3 linked regions of the Arabidopsis thaliana genome follow. The protein of the gene in region 1 interacts with the protein of each later gene in a pairwise test. Each region holds a gene or a part of one and is shown in the gene's direction. Other genes may lie near its edges. The genes, in order: ckl8, AT2G27770 and AT4G18630.

What was found.
Region 2: the proteins of ckl8 (region 1) and AT2G27770 interact in a two-hybrid assay, tested with the Arabidopsis thaliana proteins (one large-scale study listed by BioGRID).
Region 3: the proteins of ckl8 (region 1) and AT4G18630 interact in a two-hybrid assay, tested with the Arabidopsis thaliana proteins (one large-scale study listed by BioGRID).

What each region holds. Positions count from the first base shown.
Region 1 is NC_003076.8:17,383,270-17,394,764, reverse strand, and holds ckl8 (casein kinase I-like 8), read left to right. Parts: upstream 1-5,164; 5' UTR 5,165-5,823; coding exon 5,824-5,899; intron 5,900-5,974; coding exon 5,975-6,015; intron 6,016-6,108; coding exon 6,109-6,178; intron 6,179-6,253; coding exon 6,254-6,402; intron 6,403-6,474; coding exon 6,475-6,570; intron 6,571-6,711; coding exon 6,712-6,782; intron 6,783-6,888; coding exon 6,889-6,950; intron 6,951-7,042; coding exon 7,043-7,106; intron 7,107-7,194; coding exon 7,195-7,279; intron 7,280-7,376; coding exon 7,377-7,503; intron 7,504-7,596; coding exon 7,597-7,682; intron 7,683-7,778; coding exon 7,779-7,842; coding exon of another isoform or gene 7,843-7,958; exon of another isoform or gene 7,959-8,185; intron 8,186-8,188; coding exon 8,189-8,340; intron 8,341-8,422; coding exon 8,423-8,722; 3' UTR 8,723-9,005; downstream 9,006-11,495. Other genes in the region: PHT1;6 (phosphate transporter 1;6), read left to right, coding at 1-1,167; c-NAD-MDH2 (Lactate/malate dehydrogenase family protein), read right to left, coding at 2,316-2,410, 2,604-2,715, 2,804-2,939, 3,025-3,302, 3,414-3,589, 3,689-3,847, 4,171-4,213; AT5G43310 (COP1-interacting protein-like protein), read left to right, coding at 9,378-9,436, 10,183-10,362, 10,446-10,684, 10,871-10,923, 11,024-11,328, 11,462-11,495.
Region 2 is NC_003071.7:11,828,429-11,837,925, reverse strand, and holds AT2G27770 (DUF868 family protein (DUF868)), read left to right. Parts: upstream 1-3,498; 5' UTR 3,499-3,874; coding exon 3,875-4,837; 3' UTR 4,838-5,383; downstream 5,384-9,497.
Region 3 is NC_003075.7:10,253,151-10,262,947, forward strand, and holds AT4G18630 (hypothetical protein (DUF688)), read left to right. Parts: upstream 1-3,626; 5' UTR 3,627-4,027; coding exon 4,028-5,428; intron 5,429-5,545; coding exon 5,546-5,584; 3' UTR 5,585-5,807; downstream 5,808-9,797. Other genes in the region: PYL13 (PYR1-like 13), read left to right, coding at 1,209-1,703; MRH1 (Leucine-rich repeat protein kinase family protein), read left to right, coding at 7,331-7,418, 7,509-7,644, 7,734-7,805, 7,894-8,037, 8,136-8,279, 8,367-8,461, 8,551-8,979, 9,063-9,253 and 2 more.

The sequences.
Region 1 (11,495 bases):
GTAACTCTCTGCTTCTTCCGCTTCTGGCTCGGGTTTGGCATCGGTGGTGACTATCCTCTCTCGGCTACGATCATGTCCGAGTATTCCAACAAACGTACTCGCGGTGCTTTCATAGCAGCTGTTTTCGGTATGCAAGGGATTGGGATCCTTGCCGCAGGAGCTGTCTCGTTACTTGTCTCAGCTGTTTTCGAGAGTAAGTTTCCGTCCCGAGCCTATATATTGGATGGTGCAGCCTCCACCGTCCCACAGGCGGATTACGTTTGGAGGATCATCCTGATGGTCGGCGCCTTACCAGCTCTCTTGACCTACTACTGGCGGATGAAGATGCCCGAAACCGCTCGTTACACGGCTCTTGTCTCCAAGAACGCGGAGCAAGCGGCTTTAGATATGACTAAGGTTCTCAACGTAGACATTGAAGCCTCTGCCGCAAAGAATGATCAAGCTAGGGTTTCCTCGGACGAGTTTGGCTTGTTCTCCATGAAGTTCCTTCGCCGTCACGGACTCCACTTACTCGGAACAGCCTCCACATGGTTCCTCCTCGACATCGCTTTCTACAGCCAAAACTTGTTCCAGAAGGATATCTTCACCACCATTGGGTGGTTACCTTCGGCTAAAACCATGAACGCAATCCAAGAGCTCTACATGATCGCTAAGGCTCAAACCATAATCGCTTGTTGCAGCACCGTTCCCGGTTACTTTTTCACTGTAGGGTTCATCGATTATATGGGACGGAAAAAGATCCAGATCATGGGTTTCGCTATGATGACCATCTTCATGCTCAGTTTAGCCATACCGTACCATCATTGGACCTTACCGGCTAACCGGATTGGTTTCGTCGTTCTTTACTCTTTCACATTTTTCTTCTCCAATTTTGGACCTAACGCAACTACTTTCATTGTCCCGGCTGAGATTTTCCCGGCGAGGATAAGGTCGACTTGTCACGGTATATCGGCGGCGTCTGGTAAAGCCGGTGCGATGGTCGGTTCTTTCGGGTTTTCGGCTTTGGTTAAAGCTTTGGGTATGAGTAACACGTTATACATCATGGCAGGAATCAATTTGCTTGGCTTGCTTCTCACGTTTACAATTCCGGAGACTAATGGGAAATCACTTGAGGAGCTTTCCGGCGAAACTGAGCCGGAGAAAATCAAGGAGAAGATTGTTGTTTAGATTTTTTTATTTTCCTTTTGTTTTTTTTGCTTAATTATCGGATTTTGTTAGGATTTCTTTTTGTGTTTTGTCAGACTTTTAGATTTTTTGTTTAGATTTATTTAGTTGCACTATGAGTTTTCCTACTTTTTTTGAATTATTATCTTTTTCATCAAACAGATTTTATAAAAAAAAAAAAATGTTATTGTTATTAGAAGCTGATATCAAAAGTAAAACAACAAACAGATTAGTAGATAACATGAGAAAAATATGTATAGCAATATTTATTGCCAATAATAAATGTTAAGGTTGGAATGTATTTAGGTCCTATATAGACTTGTCACTAACATTCAATGTCCAGGAAAAAAAAGAGGACATGAATTAAGCCGTCGATAATTCATCAGGAATTAGAAGAAAAAAAAAGAGTTATCAACAATACCCAACAAATCATTATCTTCTGCAGCTATATTTGCTCTTTTATAGAAAAAAAATTATATTTAAAAATAAAATTACAAGATAAATCAAAGTGACTGCAAGTCTTGGAGAAAAAACTCATAGAATAGGGTTTTAGTTTTAGATAAAAACCTATGAAATAGGGTTTTACGTTTTCTTTTTTTGATAGGCTAATAAGGTTTTATATTTGGATGAACTGGTAAATAGTAAAAATAGCATAATTAAATAATAATAGTAAATTAAAAAATAAATGTTACGTAAAATTATTACGTAAAATTAATTCAAATTATTAATTTAGTATTATCCCATTGTTCTAAATCGCATAAAAACCATGGAGTATATTATTGCGAGATTTTATTCTATAATACTATTCTTAAGCTGTTTATTTCACAATTGCGAAATCTTTTGTATTTTTTTCATATGGGCCAAAAGAATACCCAACAAAGCTTTGGCCCATATCTGAAAAAGTCTACCAAAAAATTCGAGTTGTTGTTGTCTCTCCACTCTCCACTCTCCCGTTACGAAAGGAAACCAAAAGAGGTCAATTATCAAAATGATTGTTTATATCTGGTCAGCAAATCAGTACCGACACATCATGGGCACATTAGGAAAACTAAACCTCAAGCTCATGAGGTTATTAAAAGTTCATTTTATAACAAAACTTCTTTATTCGAAACAAAGCTTTCACTGATTAAACCAGCTGAGAAAAGACCGGTTTAAGAGAGGCATGAGTAAGCGAGGTCCTTCTCTTCCTTCAACTCCTCTGCTGTCAAATCCATCTTCTTCCTCGATGCGTCATCAATCGGTAAACCTGTGAATAACAACAACACATATTAGACCAATATCTAGTTCTATGAGCTAATCATCGCAGCGAGAACCAGCCTTGCACACTTAGGATTAGAAGTAGACAATCCAGTTTACGGTTCCGTTACACGGGTCAGCTTTAGGCTAGGATTCTCTTAAGAACATTGTGTATAACTTTTGGTTACGAGAAATATATTTACCTTGAACAATGGTCCACTCTCCATTACGGCAGGTTACGGGGAAGGAGTAGATAAGTCCAGCTGGAACATTGTAGGATCCATCTGAGTATACTCCCATTGAAACAAATGTGCCCTGAGAAATCAAGTCGAAGAACATATTAGTTTTACTTAGTACACAAAACAACCAATTGATTCGAGATAAAACAGTAGTAATGACGAACCTCAGGTGTTCCAACAACCCAATCACGGATATGGTCACAAGCTGAGCTAGCTGCAGAAAGTGCACTAGACAGCTTCCTGGCCTTGATAATGGCAGCACCACGTTGTTGAACGGTAGAGATGAACTCTCCATTCAACCTACAACATTAGTTGCTAACATACATGAGCATCACATTCACGAAACTAGATTGAGATATTAAAAGGGTGTTTTAGAGATTTTTACCACTCGTCATTCTTGACTAGCTCACGCACTGGCTTCTCTCCAACGGAAGTCTTAACGGTAGCGTGGTTGACATCTGGGTATTGGGTTGATGAGTGGTTTCCCCAGATAATCACGTTCTTCACATCAGACACTGGTACGCTTAACCTCTCAGACACTTGTCCCAATGCCCTGTTGTGGTCAAGCCTGGTCAAGCAAGTAATGTTCTTCTCTGGGATCGATGGTGCAAATTCCTTCAGGATCAATGCATTGGTGTTTGCAGGGTTTGCAACAACCAGAACCTACAAAACGAAGAGATAGCAAATATGAAATATCTCATACAACAAAATAAGAGATTAACTTGCTTAATTTCTGCATAATGATCATAAGAACGATTCGAAAAGACTTATCACCTTGCAGTTTGGTGCAGCATGCTTCTCCAAGGCAGAAGCTTGAGACTTGTAAATGGAAACGTTCTTGGACATAACATCCTTCCTCTCCATTCCTTCCTTCCTCGGGAAACCACCAACCATGACAGCAACATTAACACCGGTACACGCTTCAACAGCATCAGTTGTAGCCACCACACCTTCCACAGAAAAAACACCAACATCACATTTCAGCCTCAAGCAACATACCATATTCCAATACGAGCACAGTAAAAATATATACTAGAATAAAAACTTACCCTTTAGAAGAGGGAAAGCAGCATCGACCAATTCCATCTTCACACCGTTCAAAGCTTCTGCTGCAAAAGGGATGTCAAGCATGTGGAGGATCACAGGCTGATCAGCACCAAGCATTATCCCCCTTGCAATCATAGGAACAAGAGCATATCCGATTTGTCCTGCACAATAACAGAAACACACTTAAACATGATCTACACACAAAATTACAAATCAATCGCCAAATAAAGCTTACAAAATCAGAACAAATCATGATAAAATCAAATAACTGATCCAAAATGACAATTACATCTCAAAATGTAACAGGATTCACCAAATGATCCAATCAATTTCTCTCTTCAGATCTCACTATAGGAATCGAAAATATGATTCAATGATCGTTTACATTTTTGGATTATGAAAAATTGGTGTTACATAAAGATCTGACGATACGAATCAATAACGAGAGATGGAAGAAACAAGATCGGAGAAATAAGAATTTTACCTGCAGCTCCGGTAACAAGAACACGAACTGGTTCCTTCGCCATCTTATAATCGAGATCGGAAAATTATCGCCGGTGAAAAAAAGAGAGAGATTGTGAATGATCAGTGAGAGAGCGTGAAGGTATGAAAGCAGACCTGTGTGTTTATTTATTGGTGATGGTGAAAGCTGAGATGATCCATGGATTGATGCCCACGTTATCGAATCATCTCGAACCAATATCATTTTGGGAAGTTATAATGGGCCAATTTAGTGTTAAAATAAGCCCAACTAATTAAGCCCATTTAATGTTTAGACGAGTTTATCGTACCGACTAATTTGGTAAAGCCCTAATTAAATGGGGATGTTCAATGTTTACTTTTTTCATGTTTAATTAATATTTTCTTCTTTTGTAAGTGGTGTCTGAATATATAAAACTAAAGTTCTAGCTGTCTTTGTAGAAAATGCATGTCATTATATGTTTGACACTGTTATTGAAGAAATGGTCTAAACAAAAAAAGAAGATAATATAATATCAATCGAAATTCGATTCTATTATATTACTTTATTCTACATAATAAAATATTTTATATCAGGGTTTATCGAGTTAGTAATAATTTTTCTTATTACCAATAAAAATTAAAAAGCAAATTTAACAATCAAGTGATTATATAGTATTTTATAAATAGTACCAATTTTTTTTTTATGGTGTATCTGATAGTTTCGAGACAAATTTTGTTTTGTTTACTTTTAAAAATATATTATCAAATACTCATTTTTTGGTAGAATATTATGTTTTTTTATGATATTTTTTATGTAATAGTTTCAAATCAAATATCAATATTGCTTGAGGCCTACCAAAAAATAATCAATATTGCTTGAGCGGAAGAAAATAAAGATGCTAGAAAATATTAAAATCCAACTAATTTTATGTCATTAATTATCATCTTTTTCATATAGTGACGTTACTGTTTACAGTTAATGAAGAATAAATCAAATTTGGAGAAAAAGAAAACAAATTAGTTAAGCAAAAAAATAAAAAGTTGTAAAAAATTAGGGATAAGGAAAGAAAATCTCAAAATCTCTTCTTCAAGGCCGTCTCGTCAGATTTCTTTTTCATTTTTCTTTTAACGTTTGGTTTCGTCTCTAATCCATTATCTTCCTTAAGAAAAAAAAAATTCAGCAAAAAAAAAAGAGAAAAAAATAGTGAATCAAGCTGTCTCGTAGCAGTCTTTATAGATCAAACGATAATCGAATCCAACGACCCATTTTTTTTTTTTTTGGGTCTGATTTCGTCTCTCTTTGTTCTTTTCACCTTTTTTTTTTGTTTTGGTTTTGTCTCTTCCGTTTCATTTTGTGTTTCTTCAATCTGATCTAAAGCTTTTGTCTGAAAAAAAGTGTCAGACTTTCTATGAAGATGTTGTTGGTCAATGGGTGATTTTTAGTTTGTGTTAAAGCAGAAGCATAAGATTACTTGGTGAATCGATTACAATTTTGATTTGATTCAGATATTTGAAGGGTTCTTACTAGAATTTGAATTGGGGATCTTTGAATTTCGATCAGGCTTTTAGAGAGGTAGGGAACATTGAATTGAGATCTGGGTCAACTTTTGGTTTTGTTGGGGATTAGTTGTTTTAAGAGATCGAAGAAAGGAGGAAGCTTTTTGATTTGGTAACGATGGATCGTGTGGTTGGTGGTAAGTATAAGCTTGGACGTAAACTTGGAAGTGGATCATTTGGTGAACTTTTTCTAGGTAATGTGATTTGAAGTTTCTTCTGTCTTTTGGTAATTCCAAGTTTTGCTTTTGTAATAACTCTTTTGTTTTCAGGGGTTAATGTACAAACTGGAGAAGAAGTTGCTGTGAAGCTTGTAAGTCTCAACATTTGACTATTACCCTTTTCAATTCAGTAATGTGTAAAAACTCATTCTTGATTACTAAAACTTTGGTTTTTTTCTTTGTAGGAACCTGCGAGAGCTAGACATCCTCAACTTCATTATGAATCAAAGCTTTATATGCTTCTTCAAGGAGGAAGTAAGTTTTGCCTTTTGTCGGTTTAAACCTTCAGTTATCGTTCTTTTATTAACTTTTACATTTGTGTTCTTGAAGCTGGTATTCCACATCTAAAATGGTATGGGGTTGAGGGTGAATACAACTGTATGGTGATTGACCTTTTGGGTCCGAGTATGGAGGATTTATTTAATTATTGTAGTCGGAGGTTCAATCTAAAGACGGTTCTAATGCTCGCAGATCAAATGGTACGGATATATTATCTACCTTTTCTCTGATATGTTTGAGTTATTGTGTTGCTCATGATTTGATTTCTTCAGATCAATAGAGTTGAGTATATGCATGTCCGGGGATTTCTTCATCGTGACATAAAGCCTGATAACTTTTTGATGGGTCTTGGACGCAAAGCGAACCAGGTGAGTAGTTATGGTATGCAACTTTATTGTGTGGAATGATAATATACTTGTTTGGTTTTGGAATTTCTTTTGCTACTACCTTGTGAATCCTTCTATATGTTTGCATCTTTTCTCTGATATGTCATCTTTGTTCTTGTCTAGGTGTACATCATTGACTACGGACTTGCAAAAAAGTATAGAGATCTCCAAACTCATAGACACATTCCCTACAGGTACACATTTTTCTTTTTCTTGTTAAAAAGTTTTGCTCAATTTAAAATTTTCGAATTGTTAGTGAAATATTGGTAATATATTTACTAATCGAGAGTTACTTATTAGGGAAAACAAGAATCTTACTGGAACAGCTCGATATGCAAGTGTTAACACTCATCTTGGAATTGGTGAGTATTGTTTGCTTTTTCTTCTTTCATTTTCACATTAAAAACTTGACTATTTGTACGTTTATCAAACTAAATTGAGATCCTTTAAACAGAGCAAAGTAGGAGGGACGATCTGGAATCTCTTGGCTACGTGCTTATGTATTTTCTTCGAGGAAGGTATAGATACATCTTTACTTCACCCAGTATTTTAGAGTTTTCTTCAATTTGTTTCCATTTGTCCCTAAACCTCAGTCTCTCTTGCTAGTCTTCCTTGGCAAGGCCTTCGTGCGGGTACCAAAAAACAGAAGTATGACAAGATCAGCGAAAAGAAAAGGCTTACACCTGTAGAGGTACCAATTTGTAATCCATTTTTCAACTATATCCGGAACCCTGTGGTGAAACTGCCATGGATGCATTCATAGATTCAATTTAAATTTCCACTGGCAGGTTCTCTGTAAATCCTTTCCACCTGAGTTCACATCATACTTCCTCTATGTACGATCATTGCGGTTTGAAGACAAACCAGATTATCCATACCTAAAGAGGCTTTTCAGGGATCTCTTTATTCGAGAAGGTTGGGAAAAGTCTCGATTTTGTAGTAGCTTATGCTTGAATATTTTCACATAAGAAACTCAAAGAATTTGTTTTTAATGTTATATATTTGCAGGTTATCAGTTTGACTATGTATTTGATTGGACAATCTTGAAGTATCCACAGTTTAGTTCGGGCTCCAGCTCTAGCTCCAAGCCAAGAGTAAGTAACATCTATATTTTTGGAAATTTTCATCATCTTAGAAAATTCCTTAGAACGTATTATCAAATTCTCACGTTTGTCTCTGTTTTCCAACAGTCAAGCCTGAGACCAGCTATGAATCCTCCAGTACCAATTGCCGAAAGACCAGATAAACCTTCAGGTAAGCCCAACTCAATAACCTTCATCTTGCCTAAGTTTCCGTGTATCTTTTCGTGTGTGCTTCTGCTTCTTTGCTTCATCAAACAGTTTCCCTATACTTGCAAAGCTAGGCGCTAATCAAGTGCTTTATGGCCACCTAGGAGCCGATTAGTTTCTGTCTTTTCTTTTTCTTCATTTTGCTATAAGAAAGGTTCATCAATTTTATATGAATGTCTTAAGTGGATGTCAAGGCCTATTCGTCTGTTGATTTTCTGTTAATTGACTCGGTAAACCATCATGTTCCCTGCTCATAGTTTGGTGTTTGAACAAAACCGGGCATAGTAAACCAAATTTGTGTATGTATACAGCTGGAGCTGGGCAAGACAGTCGAGATAGATTCTCAGGTGCTTTAGAGGCATATGCTAGAAGAAATGGCTCAGGAAGCGGTGTGGTACAAGCTGATCGATCTAGACCAAGAACCTCAGAGAATGTATTAGCATCGTCAAAGGATACAACACCAGTGAGTCATTTCTAAAACCATGAAATCTTTTCTATATTGGCTATTCAAATCCTTTCTTAATCTCTTTCGTGATCAAAACCAGCAAAACTATGAGAGAGTCGAAAGACCAATCTCTTCAACAAGACACGCAAGTTCTTCAAGAAAAGCTGTTGTATCGAGCGTACGAGCCACTTCTTCAGCTGATTTCACAGAGAACCGCTCTAGCAGAGTTGTCCCAAGCAATGGCCGTTCCTCAACCGCTCAGAGGACTCAGCTCGTCCCTGACCCAACCACTAGACCGTCATCTTCTTCTTTTACCCGAGCTGCGCCGTCGAGGACTGCTCGTGACATCACGCTCCAGAGCTTTGAGCTACTCACCATAGGGAATGGAAAGAGGAAGTGAGAGGCTTGGCTTTATCGTGAGCGTGTTGGAGGACACTGCGACATTTTAATGGATGGAGACTTTGTTTTTATTTCACGAAATTATCGGTTTCCTAATTTAAGGAATAAATCGAACATCATTTGATTACAAATTATATGTGATAAAGTATATGGTTTTAACTTGTTAAGCTCATCACTAAATTCCATGTGTTTTATCAAGTACTAATGATTCAAATGATCCATATGGATCCAATGGAAGCATTAGACGGATGCTGGAAATACATACCATTGTTTACCGTTGAGAGATTAAGAAAAAGGTCACGAAAAAGAAGCCATGAATTTCGAGCCAATAACGACATAAATTATGTTCACTATCACTAGCTCACTCACACGGTCACACACTCACACTCACACCAGTGGCCACATGCGAAGTTCCGATTTTACCCCCAAATGTTTCGCGATATTACTATTTTAGTCCCCCACACTCACTTCCTCGGAAAATTCGCTCTCACTCTTCCAGCTGGAATCCAAAGCAGACAATGAAGACAAAAGCTTCTCTCTCTCTCTCTTATTTCTCCATCTCTCTATGATTAAACTTGGATTTTCTGCAATTTGTGTTTTTCTTCGGATGATTTCTTAATCTGAAAAAGTTTTGAAGATCTTTGGATAATTTAGCGATGAAATCTTCGACTCGGCTTGACTCAGTTGCTTTTCAGCTCACTCCCACTCGAACCCGGTAAGTTAAATTTCGTGTAAACTCTTGTTTTCGTCAGCTTTAGAGAAGCCTGATATGGTAATTGATCCTAAATGTTAAATCTTTCTGTGAAATTGTTCTATGGAAGTCGAAAGATTGCATTGTTATGTTCATTGATAAGACATAAAAATTGTTAGAAGTGTTAAACTTTGTGTGACTTGTTAGAGAAATTGGTTTTATGGAAGTCGAAAGATTGCATTTTTATGTTCATTTAAAAGATTAAATATTGTTAAAGTGATAAATTTTGTGTTAGTTTTGTGAGAAATTGGTTCTATGGAAGTTAAAAGATTGCATTTTTGGGTTTCCTAATAAGATCAAAAGTTGTTATAATGTTAATATTTGTGTTAGTTTTCTGAGAAATTGGTTCTATGGAAGTTGAAAGATTGCATTTTTTGGGTTCATTAATAAGATCAAAAGTCGTTGAAAATTGTAGGTTTCTTACCAAACTTGCAACGAAAAATTTAAGTGTTTTTCTTTGCATTGATTAATTAGGTAGGTAACAGCTAATGTAAAATAATTTCTCTCTTGTATTGTATAAACTCTTGTATTCGTGAGCTTTATTTACTTAAGCAGAAAATTGTTGTTAACTTTTGTGAAGAACTGTTCAATGCAAATAGAAAGACTGTATCTTTATGTTCATTGATAGGTTCAAAAGTCACTGAATTTTGTTGTTTGTGTACCATATTACTATGGAAAATTTAATGTCTTTTTCTTTGTGGTTCTTACAGGTGTGATTTGTTGGTAACAGCTAATGGAAAGACTGAGAAAATAGCTACAGGGTTACTTGATCCATTTCTTGCTCATTTAAAGACTGCAAAAGATCAATTGGAAAAAGGTGGCTATTCGATTATTCTCAAGCCTGAAGCTAGTGACAATGCGGCTTGGTTCACTAAAGGAACAATTGAAAGGTTTGTGTCATATACATTAGTTGTCTTTGTATGGAACTAGACACTTTGAGATAAGAGTTTTTTCTTCTTTTGTACTCGTTTAGGTTTGTTCGATTTGTGAGTACGCCGGAAGTCATAGAACGTGTTTATACTTTAGAAACTGAGATTATACAGATCAAGGAAGCCATTGGTATTCAGAACAACTCGGAAATGGCATTGACTGTTGTAAGTATATTGGGACTTTTGAATACTTTCTTTGTTGTATGGTCAGAAGTACTTAATGGTATATTGTATAAACAGGTGAAAGACGATCATCGAGCAAAAAAAGCAGATAGTGCAGAAGGTATGCCATAAGGATAAAATTATGTAATTTATGAGTCTCTATGCTAAAGCTACTGATTTGGAAAAACAATATTCCCGTCTCAGGATTTGACTGATACTAAGCAAATCTCAACTCATAAAATCGAAAATAGTGTGTCTCTTGGCTATTGATCTTTCTGTTTAACCAATATGTGAGAATGTGAATCAGGTAGCAGGCCTTTGCTACAGCTCAACGAGGAGAAAGCTATTGTCCTTTACGAGGTCAATTAGAACTGAAATGGTTTCTATAATTTAAAGGACCTTTTCTCTTATTTTTCTCTTTGGAACAAACAACTTATATCATCTTCTTGCATTTGAACAGCCTGATTCCCATCCAAAGCAAGCAAATCGGTCTACCTCATCAGATGAAAACTCTAAGTATACCCCTTTGCGTGAATTGTTTTTTGGTTTTCAATGTTTTTCAACAAAGAGAGTAGTTAAGTATCTAATTGGTAATATGTGGAATTGTATCAGAGCTCAAGTTATGAAAGTTCTGGAGACACGGAAGATAATGTTGCAGAAAGAACAAGGAATGGCCTTTGCACGTGCTGTGGCAGCTGGTTTTGAGGCTGATGATATGATTCCTCTTATATCTTTCGCCAAAACTTTTGGAGCCTCACGTTTGATGTGAGAAGATTGTAGTTTACACCAATTTCTTCTTTGTTTTGCAACCAATAATCTCATATCCATTAAAGTCTTTAAGTTTGAAAGAAACTTTTCATAGACTTACTTCTCATGTTTGGTTTCAACAATGTTATAGGGATGCATGTGTGAAATTCATGGACTTGTGGAAG
Region 2 (9,497 bases), on another chromosome or scaffold:
ATTTCTATTTTGTTTCTCAAGTTTTATGAACCCAATAGCATTGACCTCTCAATTGAATGTAACTTCTCTACAATGCATCTATACCAATTAAATACATTATGTTATGTATATTCACTAAGTTCTTTATGAATTCATAATGTCAAATATATATATATATATACCAAATCATCCTTCTCTTAACTAGGTGTCTAGGTCAACGGCTTGACTTGCCCACATAATCACGTAATTAAAGAACTTTCCCAGCAACGAACTACTCCAAAAACACGACGACATTTGAACAATAGAAAACAATCAAAACATATTGATATAACTACAGTATGGGAAAACGTTTTTATTTTTATTTTATTTTTGATTAAAAGACCTACATGTATTTGTCAGAGACGTGTAGTATGAGTTTAGAAACTTAGAAACAGAAACATGTTGTGAATTGTATAGCACCAAAAAAATAGTGTAATTATAAGTTTTTGTTTTGTTTTTTTTTTGCTTTTTTTTGGGCAAAGTATAATAATAAGTGTAAAATCCTAGTTTCCTATGTTTGACTGAGATGTATAAGAAAATAAATACTGACACATTTTGTTAACAGTCTATTAAGTTATTTGCATAGATTTTCGAGGTCATATTGGCCTTGATTTGCTTTATATGTCACTAAATATGAATATGAATAGTTTGCGATCAGCAATATGATTACACTCAAGAACTTTTTTCCTATATGTGGCCTATTTCAAAAGAAAAAGAAATACCTTATTATTGCACAGATTAGAATCTTAATTATTATAAAATCCAGATCGAACATAAGTTGAAAACATTTTGATTAAATAATCAGAAAGCTCCAAAAGCAAGATACCTATTATTCGGATCTCCATATGTTAGGCTGTCTTTATAAACTTTTACTTTCTTATTTTATTATAACACCAAATAATTATTTTCGCCCAAAACCGATAACGAACGCATAGAAAAGGTTTTAATTGATTAAATTAGTAATTGATAGAAATGGTCATCATTCTTAATTATTAAAGAACCCTCATGTTTCCATCAAAATGTTTAGGATACAATAACTAAAACTCACAAAATGGTTGTCAGTGATTAGTTTCATCATCTCGTTTCGGGATCGAAAAAATGATTTCTACTGTTTAACAAAAATAAATGATTTCTACTGAATGCTTATAAGTTATAATCATTTTGCAAGTTGATACGGTAGTATTTCGATACCAGTGTAACAGTACGGTATTAAAAGAGAAAAAGAAAAAAGAATCTGCAAATATTTTGATTGAACGAATGAATGAAATGCAAAATGTTTCACTTTACATTTTCGCTGTTTCGAGTGGTTTTAACTCTTCTTTTTTATAGTGGATATAATAGAACATATTTTGCGATCTTGGCCATTCCAAAAATCAGGCTATACATGAACATTTATATAAACATATTAGACATCTTTTATGAGTTCTTATAATGGAATTTATGCTCGACAAGAGACATCTAGTGATAATATAATTTTTCTAGGTTGGCTGGATTTTAAATATGTCCAAAGTCCACACCCAAATGTCACGACAAACAAAGCAACCGTGTTCCTTTCTATGTTTATTGGCTTAGTTTGTTTCATTATAGCTATGATAGTATTTATTTATTTTTAAAATTCTGATTATAAAATAGTACTAACGTGTTAATACGAGTTGGATTTTGCTGAGTGTTCGCATAATAGGTTAAGATTAAGAATTTCATCAAAACCGGATCGGATGCAGAACCCCATATATCACTACCAAAAAAAGAATTTTATATCATTTATTTTGAATATTTGTATTACTTATGTCATATAATATATTATCGATGCAATATATAGTTGAATATCATTTCATGGCGGGCGTCAATAGAAGAGATGGAGCTCACTTCGATAAGATAATGTATCTCAAGAATTTAAGAAGGAAAATAGTTTGGTTTGCCTCAAGTTTATTTTCTTAAATTTGTTGTCTTTAAATAATCTCTCGTTCCTTCAATTTTTAAAGCAGACGGTCTCGTTCTTTTGAAATTTTGTTCCCTCTGGATTTGGTAACCCAACTAAAAAGTTTATTCTAAAATTTTATTATTAATGTATAGGTGATAAAAGAGAAGTAATAAATTGGGCTAATTGTTTTGGCTAAAACACTTCTATATCATTTCAAGAGTTTGAATAATCAAAATTTGGAGAAAATCTAGGCCAACACAGGCAAATAAACGAAGTTCCAACATTTGGCGGTTAAGAGAATTTGTACAACCGGCTCACAATTCCTCTCTTAGATCCGATCCGATTTGTTCCGAGACCATTATATCCGGGTTTACTTCTTTTGTTTGTTAACTTCTATGAAGCTTTATTGATTTGCTTTTTTAGTCTATATGGGCACAACATGTCAGTTTATTATCCCAATGAACTCTATCGTATGAGAAGGAGACTCAATCTCAGGTGAGGTGGTATCAATTTATGAACACCAGTAGATCACAATCACAGTCACTTCTCTAGTATCTTGCTTTTAAAATGCCATTTCTACTACCAAAAAAAAAAAAACATGAACCGTATATATATATATATATAATTTCACCTTGGATCCAACCAATTCAAACCTACTTCCAAATAGATTGGATATCTGTTTTATTGGAGTGAATTGGATTAGATTTAAGATATCCCAGTTAAGCAGGTTCATGAAATAATTTAAAAGACAAAAAAAAACATAAACTTGTTCTGTAAAATTTTCTAAGAGTGTAACTCTAATTTCTTGTTATATATTTTTATATTCTTGACATATTCATATATGTAATCCTTCTGATCCAAAATTTTATTAGTAGATTCTGTATACAAACTCCTAATATATCCGATTCTTCAAAACGGATTAAGGATATTTTTAAATAAATATAAGTAAAAACATTTTATTTTTATTTTTGCAACAAGTCTATTATTGGTAGTAGTTTTAGCTGCCTGAAACTTTTTTTTTTTTTTCGTCTATAAATTGTAACTCTCGACTTGACTCCGATGTATGGAACTACAAAAGAAAAAAGAAAAACGTATTCGTAATTACTACATTACGAACCTTCCTTTAATTATATGACGGTTTCTTAAAATATGGATGGTTCAAAACAAATTCTCACTAATTATAACGATTATATTATGTCTATATTAACTGAGAGTTGCTTTGACCATCATTATATTAGAAGAATTCCTCTATCTGTAAATTCAGACATTTTTTCAATCTATATATACACTAATATTTTTCCTAAATTAGTATATGTTTATCATTTTGATCTATATAAAAATCATAAACCTTAAATTCTCTTATAGAAACTTTACAAATGTATCATAAACAATTTTAAGTTAATCAAAAAGTCATATTTGAGTAACACCAAATTTCAATTCCCTTTAGAAATTTATTAATAAAAAATAAAATATTAAAGTACAAAAACTTTTAAAATTAGTTAGCATACAACTATACAATAAAAAAAAATAAAAAAAATATCAACATCAAATTTGTGTCCCCTAGACAATGAAAGCTCAAAACTACTTAAATTCGGCTCCTTTCACCTCCACTCTCTTCTTAGCACACACACAGAGACCTTAATCCATTTCTCTCTCTCCCTCTCTCTCATTAAGAAAAAAAAAGAGAATCAGAGAAGAAATAAAAAGAAAGCAACTCAAATCTTTAACCTACAAAAACCCAGATTTGTTAACTCTCTCATTCTTCTTCTTCTTCTCAACAACATTTGATCTTTTTGATTCTCAAAGTATTCTCAAAGTAAAAGAGAAACACACTTTGTTGTCTCAACAAGCAAGCAAACAAAACCCATCTTGGGAAAATCTCATTTCTTTCCCAAGAAAATCTCATTTTTTCTGTTACAATTTTTTCCTAAGAAAATGAGAGATTTGGTGTCATGTTTCAGTGAGAACTCAATAAACGTGACACATCCCTTATCAATATCATCTTCATCATCATCATGTTCAAAATACAGTACCAACAATGTTTGTATCTCACCATCTCTCATACCATCAATACAAACCTCCATTACAAGCATCTACAGAATCACTTTATCGAAACATCTCATCATCAAAGTCACATGGTGCAATCCACACAACAACAATGGCTTAAGCATCTCTGTTGCATCCGCAGATCAAAACCCTTCAACAACTCTCAAACTCAACACTTCTTCTCGTTTCTTCCGTAAGAAGAAAGGTAACAAATCGGTTGATTCCGATCTCGGTAAAATCGAGGTTTTTTGGGATCTTTCTTCAGCTAAATATGATTCTAACTTGTGTGGTCCTGAACCTATCAATGGCTTCTACGTTATCGTCCTCGTTGATGGTCAAATGGGTCTTCTTCTTGGAGATTCATCTGAAGAAACTCTCCGTAAAAAAGGTTTCTCCGGCGATATCGGTTTCGATTTCTCTCTTGTTTCTCGACAAGAACATTTCACAGGGAACAATACTTTTTACTCGACTAAAGTAAGATTCGTTGAGACAGGAGATTCACATGAAATCGTCATCAGATGTAATAAAGAAACAGAGGGTCTAAAACAGAGCAATCATTACCCTGTTCTCTCTGTTTGTATTGATAAGAAGACGGTGATAAAAGTGAAGAGGCTTCAATGGAATTTCAGAGGGAATCAAACGATTTTCTTGGATGGATTGCTTGTGGATCTGATGTGGGATGTTCATGATTGGTTCTTTAGTAATCAAGGAGCTTGTGGAAGAGCTGTGTTCATGTTTAGGACAAGGAATGGTTTAGACAGCAGCAGGCTTTGGTTAGAAGAGAAGATTGTTAAGAAAGATCAACAAGACAAGCTTGACTTCTCTCTCTTCATTTACGCCTGTAAGACTTGAAAAACATTATAAAAAAAAAACTCAATTTTTTTTTGAGATTTACAAGAAAAAGGTTATTGATTGATTGATTCTGTTTTTAATATTTGAGATATTTTTATGGGGTTTTTTTTTTTTTTGAACTTACAATTTCTTCTTGGGAGGAGTATAGATTTTATTTTCTTTCTTACATTCTTTTTTTTTTTTGGTTGGAGTTGTGATTTAATATTGAGAGATTCCAAAAGATGTGAATTTCTTCATAGGAGTTGTTGTTTTATTTTTATTTTAAATTTGGTTTTCTTACAAATTCAAGAACATTGCCATATCTTAAATTGAAGTCATTTGTTGGGAAAATATTTGTCTCAATGACTCTCTTTCTTGGCAACATTATGATGTTTATTACTATGTAGGCTCATCTACAGATATACGTTTTTTTCTTTCATAAATGTTGAAGTAATTGATGATTATGGTTAAGGAAGAAGAATTGAAGAGTGTGAAATAAGATGAGAATATATTGGGGCATATGTGCACGCCTATAAAGATATGCATGGAGCCTCTTTAAAGTACAAAAGTTAAAAGGTCTAGAATCTACTCATGCTAATTTGTTTTTCCTATTAATCTAACAAAATTTGTGAATGAAGTAAAAATGTAAAATGCTATTTTTTCTTTTGGTTTTAGAATATCAGTATGTGAAAATTTAAGGCATAGTTTATTATGTTTTCAAGTTCCAACTCTAGTTAGGTTATTTTGGTTAGGAATGTATTAGGTGATTAACATCTCGATCATTCAAGGAACAATTTCTTCATGGTTTAGGTGACTACATTGTAAAGTACAAAGTTTTTTCTTTACATTTTTTGTTAAAATTGTTGTAAGAAAATATGTCTAGTAATGGCTAATTTTTAGTTAAGTTGGTTCGGTTAGGCGAGGTTTAGGTGGTGACATCCCATTCAAGCAAATATTTTTTCTAGATTGGTTGATTTGGAGAGTTTTAGGTGATGTAAGTAGTTCAAGCTTTAGTTTTAGAATTTGATTATAGTCAGTCCGAATTTATGTTTTCATATAAGTTTGAGTTTTGATAAATTGGAGTTAACTATTTAATACTATAGAAATTTAGGAGTATTAAAATGATCATTGCATGTAAATATCATACGATTAAGATTAACCATGCCTCTGTATTTAAAGGATATAAGTATTACTATAATACAATAGGATACAAAATAAAGATTCGGTCAACATAACATTACAATATAATTAAAATACTGCTTCGAGTCATTTAAAACTAATCCAGAATTTGAAAGGCTGACAAATTTACCATTGTTTACACATAATAGAAATTTGACTGTTAAACCCATATATAATGAACAAAGCTTTAAGAGAGAGAGATATCGATAGCACGTTTTCACACAACACGATATATAAATTAAAAAACCATGTATGATACAAAATGTAATATGTGCACTATGGGGTGCCTGGACATTCATTACCATTTATTCATTTAAGTCACTAACAACATTTGCATTCCATGAATAATTCAGGTTGCATATTATAAACAAATATATATCTAAACCTTAGAAATATTTCAATTGGATGTTTCATCCATATAACATTAAAGAATGTTTCACATGGTATCACTAATTGCAATTTGATCATGAATTTATAATAATTTATAAAACAAATTTGGTTCATGTCATCCCTCTCCACTTCTATTATATTTTCTCTTAACAAATCTCAAACCAGTTATATTGATAAGCCATTCAGATTTACTTAATTTCGAGCATATACTAAAACAATCATAATGCCTGTTTTACTCTTTCGAGATTTTTATATCGGCAACTTAGTCAAAACAACATAAAGAATTAATAGTTCTACCAAAGAAAACATAAAGAATTTTATAGAATGAACATGATAGCTTGGTGAAGATGTAGTAGGTTTATGGTACCATTTTCGAACTATGCTACAAAAATATTACATTGAGGTAAGGTGATCCACTATAATCCTTATCATACATCCATAGAAACTTATACCAAGTTACCTACCGATGACACCCTCATGTATTTGACCCATTACTCTTTAACAGATTATATATATCTTTCAAGAGTGTATATCTTATTTTGCCAATTTTATTCTAGTAGCTTGTTATACTCTTTGTGATATTATGAAAAGGTTTTAACTCAAATATCATGAACTTCCAAAATCTCCACATATATTTGTGTTTTTTCCCTATATTAGAGCCATTCTTAACATTTGTGACAATAATTTTCAAATAGTGATGATTAGTGAACTTCACCTTACAAATGCATTTGATTGAAGAGGAAATGTCATTAGCCATCATCGCCTTTGCACCCTCGAATGATTCAAGCTTTATGAACCAGTCTTTTGTTAGAGTAATCTGATGTGTACATTGTGAATTTGTGATACATAGTTCTATATGGAAAATCTTGTGTTATACATATCAAATTATTATGTTCTCTTTCTTGAACCCTTTCCAATCCAACATGTTCTCATTTTTACTTGAACTTATATCATTTCTATATTTTGTTTGTTATGTGTACAATCTATCTTGAAATAATCAATGGATTGGCATATTCAACAACCTCGTTTTGATGTCTTTATCCTTGTTATTATTTTTACTTTGAGAACCATATGAGTTTTTTTTTTAAATACACTCTTCATTTCTTTTTTAACTAATGTAAAATTTCTTCCAAAAAAACTTTACAATAAATGGAGCATTTGTTTAAGCGCTTTTAACATATGATTATCGAATGAAAAAATTAGAAACTAGCTTCTTTCTTGTCTTGATACAAGCCAAACCGAAATACAACCTTCGTATCTTCTATCCCATTGCTTTCGTATAGAAGATATCATGTTCCAAACTTTTGAATCTAGTCTTCATACTGTCCTAAAAGCTTTTACGTTTGAAATTAAGTTAGAAAACACAATCAAGTATTACGAGTTTTCTAAACTCAACGCAATCTTAGGTCTTGAAAAATATACTTTTAGGAATTCACTATCAACGTAGTTCAGATAGTTACAAACTAAAGAGAATACGAATTCTCTAACTTAATATATCTTCCATTAATGAAACCAAAGCTTCCCTCTCACCTAAACGTCTCTCCTAAGAAACCCAAACCTCACACTTATTAATCTCCTTAAGAATATCCTCTAGTCAAACATTCTATTTTCTTTCTTATTTTAATTGAAATAAAAAGATAAGAAAAAACTTAAAAGGGAAGGGTGATACATGTGCCACACAGTGTCTGTATTGCTTTCACTCCCTTCATTAGTGGTCCCTTATTGTCTTACAATTTAATTTTCGAATCAAAATCTATCAGCCCTCTCCCCTACTAGTACTTGTATACTCATCCAACAAGTACTCTTTTGCTCTGCAAATATTTATTTCTCCATATACTCCAAACTTCACTGCCAAAGAATCATAACAACTGTCTTCAGTCAAATGATCTCTTACAATATCATAAACAAAGTAGTTGTTTTACAATTTAATCTCTTAGAGTAACAAATTCTAGTAGAATTAAATTGTTTATTAACAATTTTTAATTTTTAATATGGAAATTAAAAATATAGAAAATAGATTTTTTTAAAAAGATAAAGAAAGAATAAGTAACGGTATCTCTGAATAAGAGTAGCATTAAATTTGCTTAAGCTCCTCACATGGCCCTGCATGTGTCCTTTGTAAATGTTAGTGTACCCCATATATATAGGCACACAACCATGTCTTTTATTTTTATCCTTTGAATTTAACAATTTTTTATAATGAAAGGAGAACTTTCCTCGAATACAAATATACAATTATAATTATAGTAATTGGTACAATGCCAAAGTAACATTAATGTGACTATACAATTATTTAGAAATAGTATATTAATTGGTACAATGCCAAAGTGACATTAATGTAACTACGGTTCAGAAGTGACATTTACTCTACATATCCCTCAGTTCTCTTTTGAAAATCTTTAACATCATTTATTTTTCAGTCAGTCGGCCAACACAATTTTTCTATATTATTCTAAAAGTCATAAACCGAATACCAAGTTTACACAAATTAATACAATTAGTAATCTAGTTTTCATTTTGATTCTATAACTCTAGAAGTCATAAACCAAATACCAAGTTTACACAATTAATACAATCAGTAATCTAGTTTCTATTTGATTCGATAACTCTAGAAGTCATAAACTAAATACCAAATTTACACTATATAATAAAATTAGTAATCTAGTTTTTATTTTGATTCTTAAGAAAAAAAATATATATACATTTCACCGTGGTTAAGTAAATACTCAAAATCTATTGATTATATATTTTGAAGGTGTATAAACTCAATGTTTTTTTTTTAATATTTGAAATTACACGAACATATAGATTTTTTAAAAATATCATCCATGCTATATATTAATGCATGGATCTCATGGATTTTTTTATAACCAAAAAAAATTAAACCGTAATCCAAAATAATCTATGAAATTTGTCGAAGATTCGAGTTTTTTTTTTTTTTTTTTTTTCTATTTGAAGGCTAACAGTAATCAATCATAATTAAAATCACACAATAATGGAAAAATCTCTAACCAAGACCCACATCATAAATTTTCAACTACCAGAAAACAAGAAGTTGTTTAATCTTATAATATCTTACATTGATAGTCACCAATAGACTAGACACTGCAAT
Region 3 (9,797 bases), on another chromosome or scaffold:
ATAAATATATATAAAAAAATCTATTACATTTTATCTCATGTCTTTACAGATTACACATTGGAATTGAGTTTTTTTTTTCATCTAAAACTTTTGTTATTTATATAACCATGGAGGTGACACAATGCCGGCCGTTAAACATGATCTTAGTCTAGGAAGGCTAAACATAAAACCAAAGCCAAGAAAAGGACTAACAAACGGACTGGATAGTTTGAAACCCAAAACCAAAACAGAATGGATTTTGTGCTGTGTGGGGTGAAGCATAAATGTATAAATGGAAAATATCATCATTAAAGTTTGGGCTTATACGGGCCTTATTTCTAATAGGCAATAGACTGATGGAACATTGAATATGCCTACCCTGGATATGTAGAACTTGCATGGCTCTCGGATTGGATACGTAGAACATTACACTTATGAAGGAAAAAAGATTGGATTCTTTTTTTTTCTGGTCGGCAACCAATTAAGAGAAACACTGTTATGTTTGTAAACAAGTGTGTGTTTCGCTAAATTCCATTGTGTGCTTTTCCGGTTTAAATGACATCTGTATTTACCTCGTGGGCAATGACACATCTATCTATATTTAGCTCCAAAACATTGCTGCAGCAAATTTCCAAAATAGACCGACTAGATTTTAATATAATATTGGTAATTTTTATCAGTTGGTAAGATATTTAATTCTTCGTGAAAAGATACTCGTATATCTCTCTTTCTGTTTAAATGGTTGATATAGTCAAAAGAAAAACCTTCAAAGAGGGTTTGTTAAAACCATATTCCCTATCACTCTTGTCAGAATACCCTTCACAGATGGTTTTGTTAATCTTTTTGATAAAACCAAGTTCCAGAATATGCAAGCCTTTTATCAAAAAGCAAAAGAAAGTTTCTAAATATGCCAACAAGATTGTGTAATTTTTCACTATACAAGGCAGTCAATACTTGTGTACAAGTTTATATTGTAAAATGTTTTTTGGTTAGTATATAGTAAGAAGAATTCGAATCGAACTCTAAAGTTTAATATTACATGAAGAATTCGTAAATAAATTAAACAATATAAAACACTATAAAAATATTTTAGTCGGTGGCTTGCCTTCATTTATATGTACGTAGATTCGTTCGATATGCTTTAAAACAAGTGAATACGAAAATTCTAAAGTAAGACACGAAAATACACGTCGATAAAAGACAAACCCATTAGAAAAACAAAACAGAAAATGGAAAGTTCTAAGCAAAAACGATGTCGCTCTAGCGTAGTCGAGACCATTGAAGCACCATTACCACTAGTGTGGTCCATCCTACGTAGTTTCGACAAACCACAAGCTTATCAACGTTTCGTCAAAAGTTGCACCATGCGCTCTGGCGGCGGCGGCGGCAAAGGAGGAGAAGGAAAAGGCTCCGTCCGGGACGTGACGTTAGTCTCCGGCTTCCCGGCGGATTTCAGCACGGAGAGGCTCGAAGAGCTAGATGATGAGTCTCACGTGATGGTGGTAAGTATTATTGGCGGTAACCATAGGCTTGTTAATTACAAATCGAAAACGAAGGTGGTCGCGTCGCCGGAGGATATGGCAAAGAAGACGGTGGTGGTGGAGAGTTACGTGGTGGATGTGCCGGAAGGAACTAGCGAGGAAGATACAATATTTTTTGTTGATAACATTATTCGGTATAACCTTACTTCACTTGCTAAGCTCACAAAGAAAATGATGAAGTAAGCTCTATATGTTTAAGCTAATCAATAAACTAATCGTAGTTATAGTTATGAATCATTGGATTAAGAAAAAAATGGATCGTTATGGATTAGTTTTTAATCTTTAAGGCTTTTAGCATTGCAATAATAATAATAAAAATATAAAGAATCGGAATAATATGCTCGTGTGGTTTCTTTCTTCCGTGATTGTAATTGTCTCTTTTCTCCTACTCTTTTATGAAGAGAAATAAAATGAAGGTTATTTCTACATTTTTACAATTAGGAATCTTTGAAATAATGGTTTTAAATTGTTGACTCAGTTGGTTTAGTTACTAAATATACTGATTTGTATTGCTGACAACAAAAGTTAGACTAAATACATGTTTGAAAATTTTCTTGATAATTCTTTGTCCATTTTGCATAATGCATAGTAAAAGGGCATCATGTAAGATTCTTAATTTGAAGTTCTAAACTAATTAATATCAATACTTTAGTATAATATTATTAGGTTGGAAGGTATTTTACACTCAGAACAGAAAGTATGATGACCTAAACTGTAGATCTCGTGAATTTCATGGCCGTTTGACTCAAATCTGTTCGGAGGTTATGAATTTATGATGTCCGTTGAATCATTGAGCTGTTGAACTAATGGAGTGGTTTACTCTATAATACTTTGGTGTGTTTTTATCAAAAACCGACCGAATCAACAGATATAATTTATTTTGAACAAGTTGGTGAAAGACAAAATAGAGGTTCTATTGATCTAAATATAACGGTGAAGATTGGAAATTTTCATGTTTTTTCGGGAATTGGGCCTTTATGAATGGACTATTGGGCCTTGCTATTTCAAAGCTTGGGTGTTGGTGGGGCTTGCTATTTCAAAGCTTGGGTGTTGGTGGGGGAGTGTGAGTGGTTGCCACGTGAAGGATACTTATTCCCTTGTCCTTTTCATTCCCGCAATTTTAGGGATTTTGGTCAACGAAACTTATTTCACTTTCTTTCAGTAAATCGATTTTTTTCTCAGGTGTATATTTCTCAAGTTATTGTCTACTTTACAAATTTTCATGGGTTTCTCCTCCTCTTTTTGTATTAGATAGATTAGAATAAATGTTCGCTTGACCAGTCGTTAATTTATTTATAGACACTTTTGAAGAATTGGTTATTAATAAATGTAGTACCTACCAAAACATAAGTAACGACAAACAGATAGTTAAGTTATGATTAAAAGAAATTTCTTCAAATACCATTTCTATTAGTTTTTCTCTCATTTTTCATACTATTATTCTTCATTCTTTTTTTGTTTGTTTAGCAATTAAAAATCAAAGTTTTGAATATTGGAGACGGAAAGAGGTGGCCGAGTAATGTTTTTTCCTCTTAAAACGATTACTATACTACCTAGAAAACAATTACATAATCTAAAAGTAATATACTATACACTATGTAATCTAGAAGTGAAATGTTAATTTATAGTCAATATCTAAGGCCGGTTGTTTTAGCAAATTATAAGTCAATTTTTTGGAATGTTATGAGTAATTCAAAGTAATTAAATTATATATCGTAATCGAGCCCCATCATCCGTCGAGGCGAATGCCGCGACTTTTCTTTCAAAGACTTTAAACAAAGTAAACAATTAGTGGTGCATTCGGAGAAAAGAAAATTAGTGCTTACATTATAAACGACGTTGCGTGGCTCGGAAAAGGACACAACAACATGTGTTACATTACCAAAGTCGGTAATTTGGCTCACATAAATGTCTTTTCTCACTTTTTCTTTTATTTTGTTTGTTTCATTACTTTTAGAGAAAAAAAAAATACAGTTGAAACTTGAACCACAACTACTCCTCACGTTTTGCCTTGAGGAATATTTCACCTTATTAGGGCCAAATTTGTGTCTCTGATCTTCTTGTACTCCGATGTCTAACGACATCGTTATGTATTCACAATACATAAAATTTCCAACAAAAAGAAAAGTAGTTGATCTCAATATCTCATCATTAATTTTCAATCAAATCTTTGTGGGGGATGGGATTTATTCTAAGCTCAATTATAACTTATATAAGAAATGAAAACAACCAAACACAAGGTTAAAGAGAAAGTCTCTTTATTGACAATTCTTTAGTCGCACACTTATAATAGATTCATCTGCTATTTTCCTAAACTCCAGCCTTCAATCTCGGTCCTAGACATTCGGCAATCATTTACACACATATATTAATACATTAACTCTATTCTTATTTTTCCGATTTTCTTACTTTAATAAGAACAACTACAATCTCAAACACATAGCAAGAGAAGAGATACACAAAACAAAGACTCTGTTTGTTATTCTTCCTTCTTTTTGTTTTCAAGAATGGAGGGAAAGAAATTGAATTTGTATGCTCCATTACCATCAATCAGGCGAATTCCGTCTATGATAGAGCGTTCAAGTGAGTTAGAGAATAAGAAGACGACGATTACAAGACCAGAGCTTCGATCATGTCCGAGCACAAAACAAGAAACGCCGGTTTTTGTATTACCAGACCAGAGCTTTGATCATCTCACAGAACCAGCTTCAATTCCTTTTATGTGGGAACAAATCCCTGGAAAACCAAAAGATGACATGGCTACATTGATTCAAGAGTCAGGTCTACTAGAAACCGATGATGAAGAAGAAGACGAAGTAGATGAAGATTTGGATACGGTTTCTTCAAATGTAAGCTTCTCTGTTAACTGCAGCACAAGTGGAGTTAGCGAAATCGAGAAGACCGGTGAGAGATCTGATTGTGATGAGAAGTCTAGAGAAAGTCTTGATCTAATGATGTCAAGATTCTTACCAGCTGCTAAAGCAATGGCTCTTCAGACACATCAGAAACATCAATCTTCTTATAACTCTTCAGAGCAGAAGCTAATCACTCAGAACAGAGAAGCTCTCGTAGCTCGTCAAAGAAGTCAACTGGTTGCAGAACATGAACATTTCGCCATTGTTCAGAGTCTTTACGATGACTTAAACATTGATGATGATACTGAAGACGACGAGAATGATGATGATGGTGATGATTATGGTCATGTTGATCACAAGATCTACCCAGCTGAAGTTACCAAGAAAGCTTGCGGATTCTTGCCAAGGCTTTGTGCGAAGAACTCATTCAAGTTTCTAAACCCGGTTCCTTTGGATTCAGTATCAAACCGGTCTATGAAACATTCGGGTGATCAAACCAGTTTACCAAACTGGTCAACTAGGCGTCTTTCCGGTTTTATCTCTCCGTACCGAACCTCTTGTTCGGATTCCGGTTTTCTCGGAACTCCCGAGAAACCAGAGAGCTTCAAAAGGCTAAACAGAGGAATAAGCAAGTCTCAAGAACTGTATCCAACAAGAACAAGAAGAGAGGTTCTTCCTAATTACTCAAATTCTGGAGAGATCAAAATGTTTAGAAACTCGATCTCTACTCCTTCGAGGATCCAACGGACCACAATTCACGATTCTAGGTTTCTTGTTGAGGAAGTAAACAGAAGAAGGAACAACAAGTCAGGGAATCTTCAACAAACATCGTCGGAATATACACCTGCGCTTTCTCCTCCTCCGTTACCGGAAACTCCGTCTCGTTCCTGGCTCGGACGAACCCTCCTACCGCCGGTGAACCCGAGACCGTACGGCGTCGTTTTAGGTCAAGTTGGTATCAAGAAACTGAATCAAGAAGTTCTTGAATCTACGAAATGGGAAACGATCGTTAAAACATCGTATGTTCACAACGATCACGCTCGTTATTCTCAGGTATTAATTACTCTTTGAACATTTTTGGTTCTAACAAATCGAATTCTTTTAAAAATACGTTGTATTATTGAACATTTTAATTTATATATCTTCTCTTTGTGACATTCTTCTATGCAGGAGCTGATTGTTTATCCATCTCGCCAGCAAAATACATAAAACCAGACAAATTACTTCTTGTTTTTACATTACAATTAAGTTAATAAATAGTTTTAAGGTTTGCCTCTTATTTTTCTTGTAGGCAACACAAATGTACCCGAGATTGATTCTTTATGTTTCAATATTTTTGTGTGTGTTATAATTGTGGCGTTTGTTTTCCGACCGCATTATTTGTAATTGGAAGACCTCATGTTATTGATGTTAGATACAATATGGATTCCGTGCCTAACCAGTTCTGACTTAGCCGGTTTAGACCGGCACAATTATACAACATAACCAGGCTGATTCATAGTGTCGATTCGATAAACCGATGAAGTTTCTTAAATAATCATATATGATCATATCATCATAATTGAAATTAGAGCTATCTTTGTCTAAGACACACATATAATATAAGATTTTGATTGACTTCTTTTTCTTATAATATCAGCTGCAATTGACATTTGATCATGACGGAATAAAATATTTTAAGAAAGTAATGGGAGACATGTTACTAGCGATGATGCTCTTTTTTTTTTGCTTTTGTCAAATTACGGGTGATGACTGATGATGTTCATGCACATTAATTCAAAACCCCATGTCATGTGTGGTAGTGCTCATTATACACAAACGATATGAAAACCGTTGGATTACCGATATCCAACGGTCACAAAGATTCACTATTTTATTACGCACTAGTAAAGTATAAGAGGCAGGCACGTCCCCCATGCCCCATGAGTCTTGTTGTTGAATTCGATTTTAAAATAACAAAATTAGAGAGTGAGAATAGATTTGGATACTAAAATTAAAAATACATAAATCGTTCATTTTGTGTTTTAAAATACTTATGGTGACGTGGCTTAGTGTAGTATAGTTAAGCACGTATAATTATTAAAAAAAAAAAATAGAAACCAAAAGTAAACTACAAGAAAATTAGGGGTTGTGAAATTGGAAAATTTTCGAAATAATTAAAAAAAGAAAACAAATTGTGCAAAGAGAGAGAAGAGGGAAGACAAAGGGAAGAGGGAGGAGAGAGAAGGCACCACCCTTTGGCCCTGGAGAGACCAAAGATGGTCGAAGAGAGACAACTCTGAGATCATCATCATCATCCTGCAAAAACTAACGAGAAATCGATTTTCAAAAATATAATCAAGATCGATTTCTAGGGATATTTTGATTTCTAAATCCTCTCACCAACATTCTCTTGCTTGCCCTACCCGCTTGCTGGTTTCATCCAGAAACATAATAATACATTGTTTGCATTATAAGGAATTCCTTTATACAGTAAGTTTTATCATTACCTATCATTTGTTTGGTTCCTTTACGTAATTTGCAATGTTCCTCATTTTAAAGAGAACAACATAATGTTTTTTTTAGGTATATATACGTTGCTTCTTCGAAACGGTATCCCCTTTGGTAATTATTGTTATTTTTATTGCATTTTCTTCAGGTATCAAGAGATCCACAAGAAGCTGTTAGATCCCAGAGATTAACACTGTGATGAAAAGGGTTTTGTGAAAATCAATTTTCAAACCTGGAAAATGATGATCAAGGACCCTTATATCCGACAATTTTCTTCTTTCTTCTGTACATTGTAATATATAGAAAATTAACATTTTTTCTCTTTCTTTCTTTTTTTTCTTTTGATATTTGGTTTGGTTATATAGAAGAGAAAGTTTGTTTCTGGGAAATGGGTTTTTTGGATTTTGGTTTGTAATTAGGGAAAAAAATCTTTAGTATATAGTGTTTGTTGTAAAAAACCTTATAATGATGGGTTGTGGATTTCACTTCCCTTGGTTCTTCTTCTTGATCATTGGCCTTCAAGCTCCTCTCTCATTGTCCCTCACTTCCCAAGGTTAGATCTTTATAATTATTATCTTCTTGTTCTTGTTTTAAATGATTTGTTTAGGGTTTTCGTTCATGCTTTAATTTGTGTTGAATTCAGGATCCGCATTGTTGAAGTTCCGGGCAAGAGTCAACTCAGATCCTCATGGGACTCTTGCGAATTGGAATGTTTCTGGTATTAATGATCTCTGCTATTGGTCAGGGGTTACTTGTGTTGACGGTAAAGTGCAGATTCTGTAAGTTCCTCTGTTTTAGACTAAACTATGAGAAGATGAGACCATTAGTGTAACTATGTTCTGATAAATGTTTTGTTGTGTTTTTTTAGGGATCTTAGCGGATATTCTTTGGAAGGAACGTTAGCTCCTGAGCTTAGCCAATTGAGTGACTTAAGATCTCTGTAAGGATCTTTTCTTTGATGACTCAACTCCGGTTTTTCCATGTTTGGTTGTTTTTTCTTGGAGTAAACCACTTTCTTGTCGTTACAGAATACTCTCTCGGAACCATTTCTCCGGTGGAATTCCAAAGGAGTATGGGAGTTTCGAAAACTTGGAAGTCCTGGATTTGAGAGAGAATGATTTGAGCGGACAAATTCCACCTGAGCTAAGCAATGGCTTATCGCTAAAACACTTGTGAGTTAACATTTCTAATGTTCAATTCTTAAGAAAATGTATTGAATAGAAGTGTACCTTAAATGTTTGTTTGCTACGACCTTGTTGAACTGATGTAGGTTGCTTTCTGGTAACAAATTTTCGGATGATATGAGAATAAAGATCGTGAGACTTCAATCTTCGTATGAAGTTCGGTTAAAGAAGAGTCCAAAGTTATCACCTTTGGCTGTTCTCGGCTGTATTAACAGAAAACTTGGACACTGGTAAGCTCTGTAATATATATTCTGATTCATCTAACACAAAGAGTGTTTTTTTGGTTATGCATATCCACCGTTCATCTTCCTTGACAGTGTTTCAAGAAACCGTATCATTCAAGTAAAAAAGGTAGAAGCTATTGTATTCCGGATCAAAGCAACCTCCAGACGTTTCTTGAAAGCATTCCCTAGTAAGCCAAAGACAGTTTGGATTCAACAAATTTAACGTAGAAACTAGAGATAAGTACTTGAAGGTGTCATTTCAATCTGATTCTTGCAGGCTTTTTGGAGGAAACTGATATCTACAAACGACGTGAGCTACTCGAGGAGACAAGTAATTTAGCGGCTGAGCCTGCTCCTTCAGCTCCTAGTCCTTCTCCCGGGATTATAACTGAAGCTTCACCTCGAAGCAGCGGGTCTTTCCCTGCAGTAACCAATGCAAAGAAGAGAAGACCACCTTTAGTCCCTCCTGTACCTTCTCCTGATAAGGGCAGTACTAGTCCTGATATCTCTAAGAATCAGCCACAAGATAATAAACAGTCAAAAGGATCAAAACATGTATGGCTGTATGTGGTTATCGCGGTTGCTTCTTTCGTCGGTTTACTGATTATAGTAGCGGTTATCTTCTTCTGCCGGAAAAGAGCTGTCAAGAGCATAGGTCCTTGGAAAACTGGTCTTAGTGGACAATTGCAGAAAGCTTTTGTTACCGGTAAAAAATCTTATTTCTCTTTGTTTCCATTTTTACTCTGTTTCTTTAGGAACATTAACACTGAAACTGAGAACAAAATGTAGGGGTACCAAAGCTCAATCGGTCTGAGCTTGAAACAGCGTGTGAAGATTTCAGCAACATCATAGAGACATTTGACGGTTACACTGTGTATAAAGGAACATTGTCGAGTGGTGTTGAGATAGCGGTAGCTTCAACCGCGATTGCTGAATCTAAAGAATGGACAAGAGCCATGGAAATGGCATACCGTAGAAAGGTTACTGCTTACTCCTTCTTAACTAACAAAAAACTAACTTAAAAGGTCTTATCATTATAACTTAAAAGGTCTTTTTGTAGATTGATACTCTGTCACGGATCAACCATAAGAACTTTGTGAATCTGATTGGATACTGCGAAGAAGATGATCCTTTTAATAGGATGATGGTCTTTGAATATGCTCCAAATGGAACTCTTTTCGAACATTTGCACGGTAACAACATTGGTCTTGGTCTTTTCATGATGTTATCTCGGCTTTCACTCTCTCAGTTAATAACGTTTTCCGCCTATCAGATAAGGAGACAGAGCATCTTGATTGGAGCGCACGGATGAGAATAATAATGGGAACGGCTTACTGTCTTCAACATATGCACGGGATGAACCCGCCTATGGCTCATACGGACTTCAATTCATCGGAAATCTACCTAACCGATGACTACGCAGCCAAGGTTTGCTCTAAAACTCTCAAACTGTTATTAAAGGTGTTGTTATTAAGCTGTATGTGCTCAAGAACCTCTGAAACTTGTATTACAAGTTTACGTTTT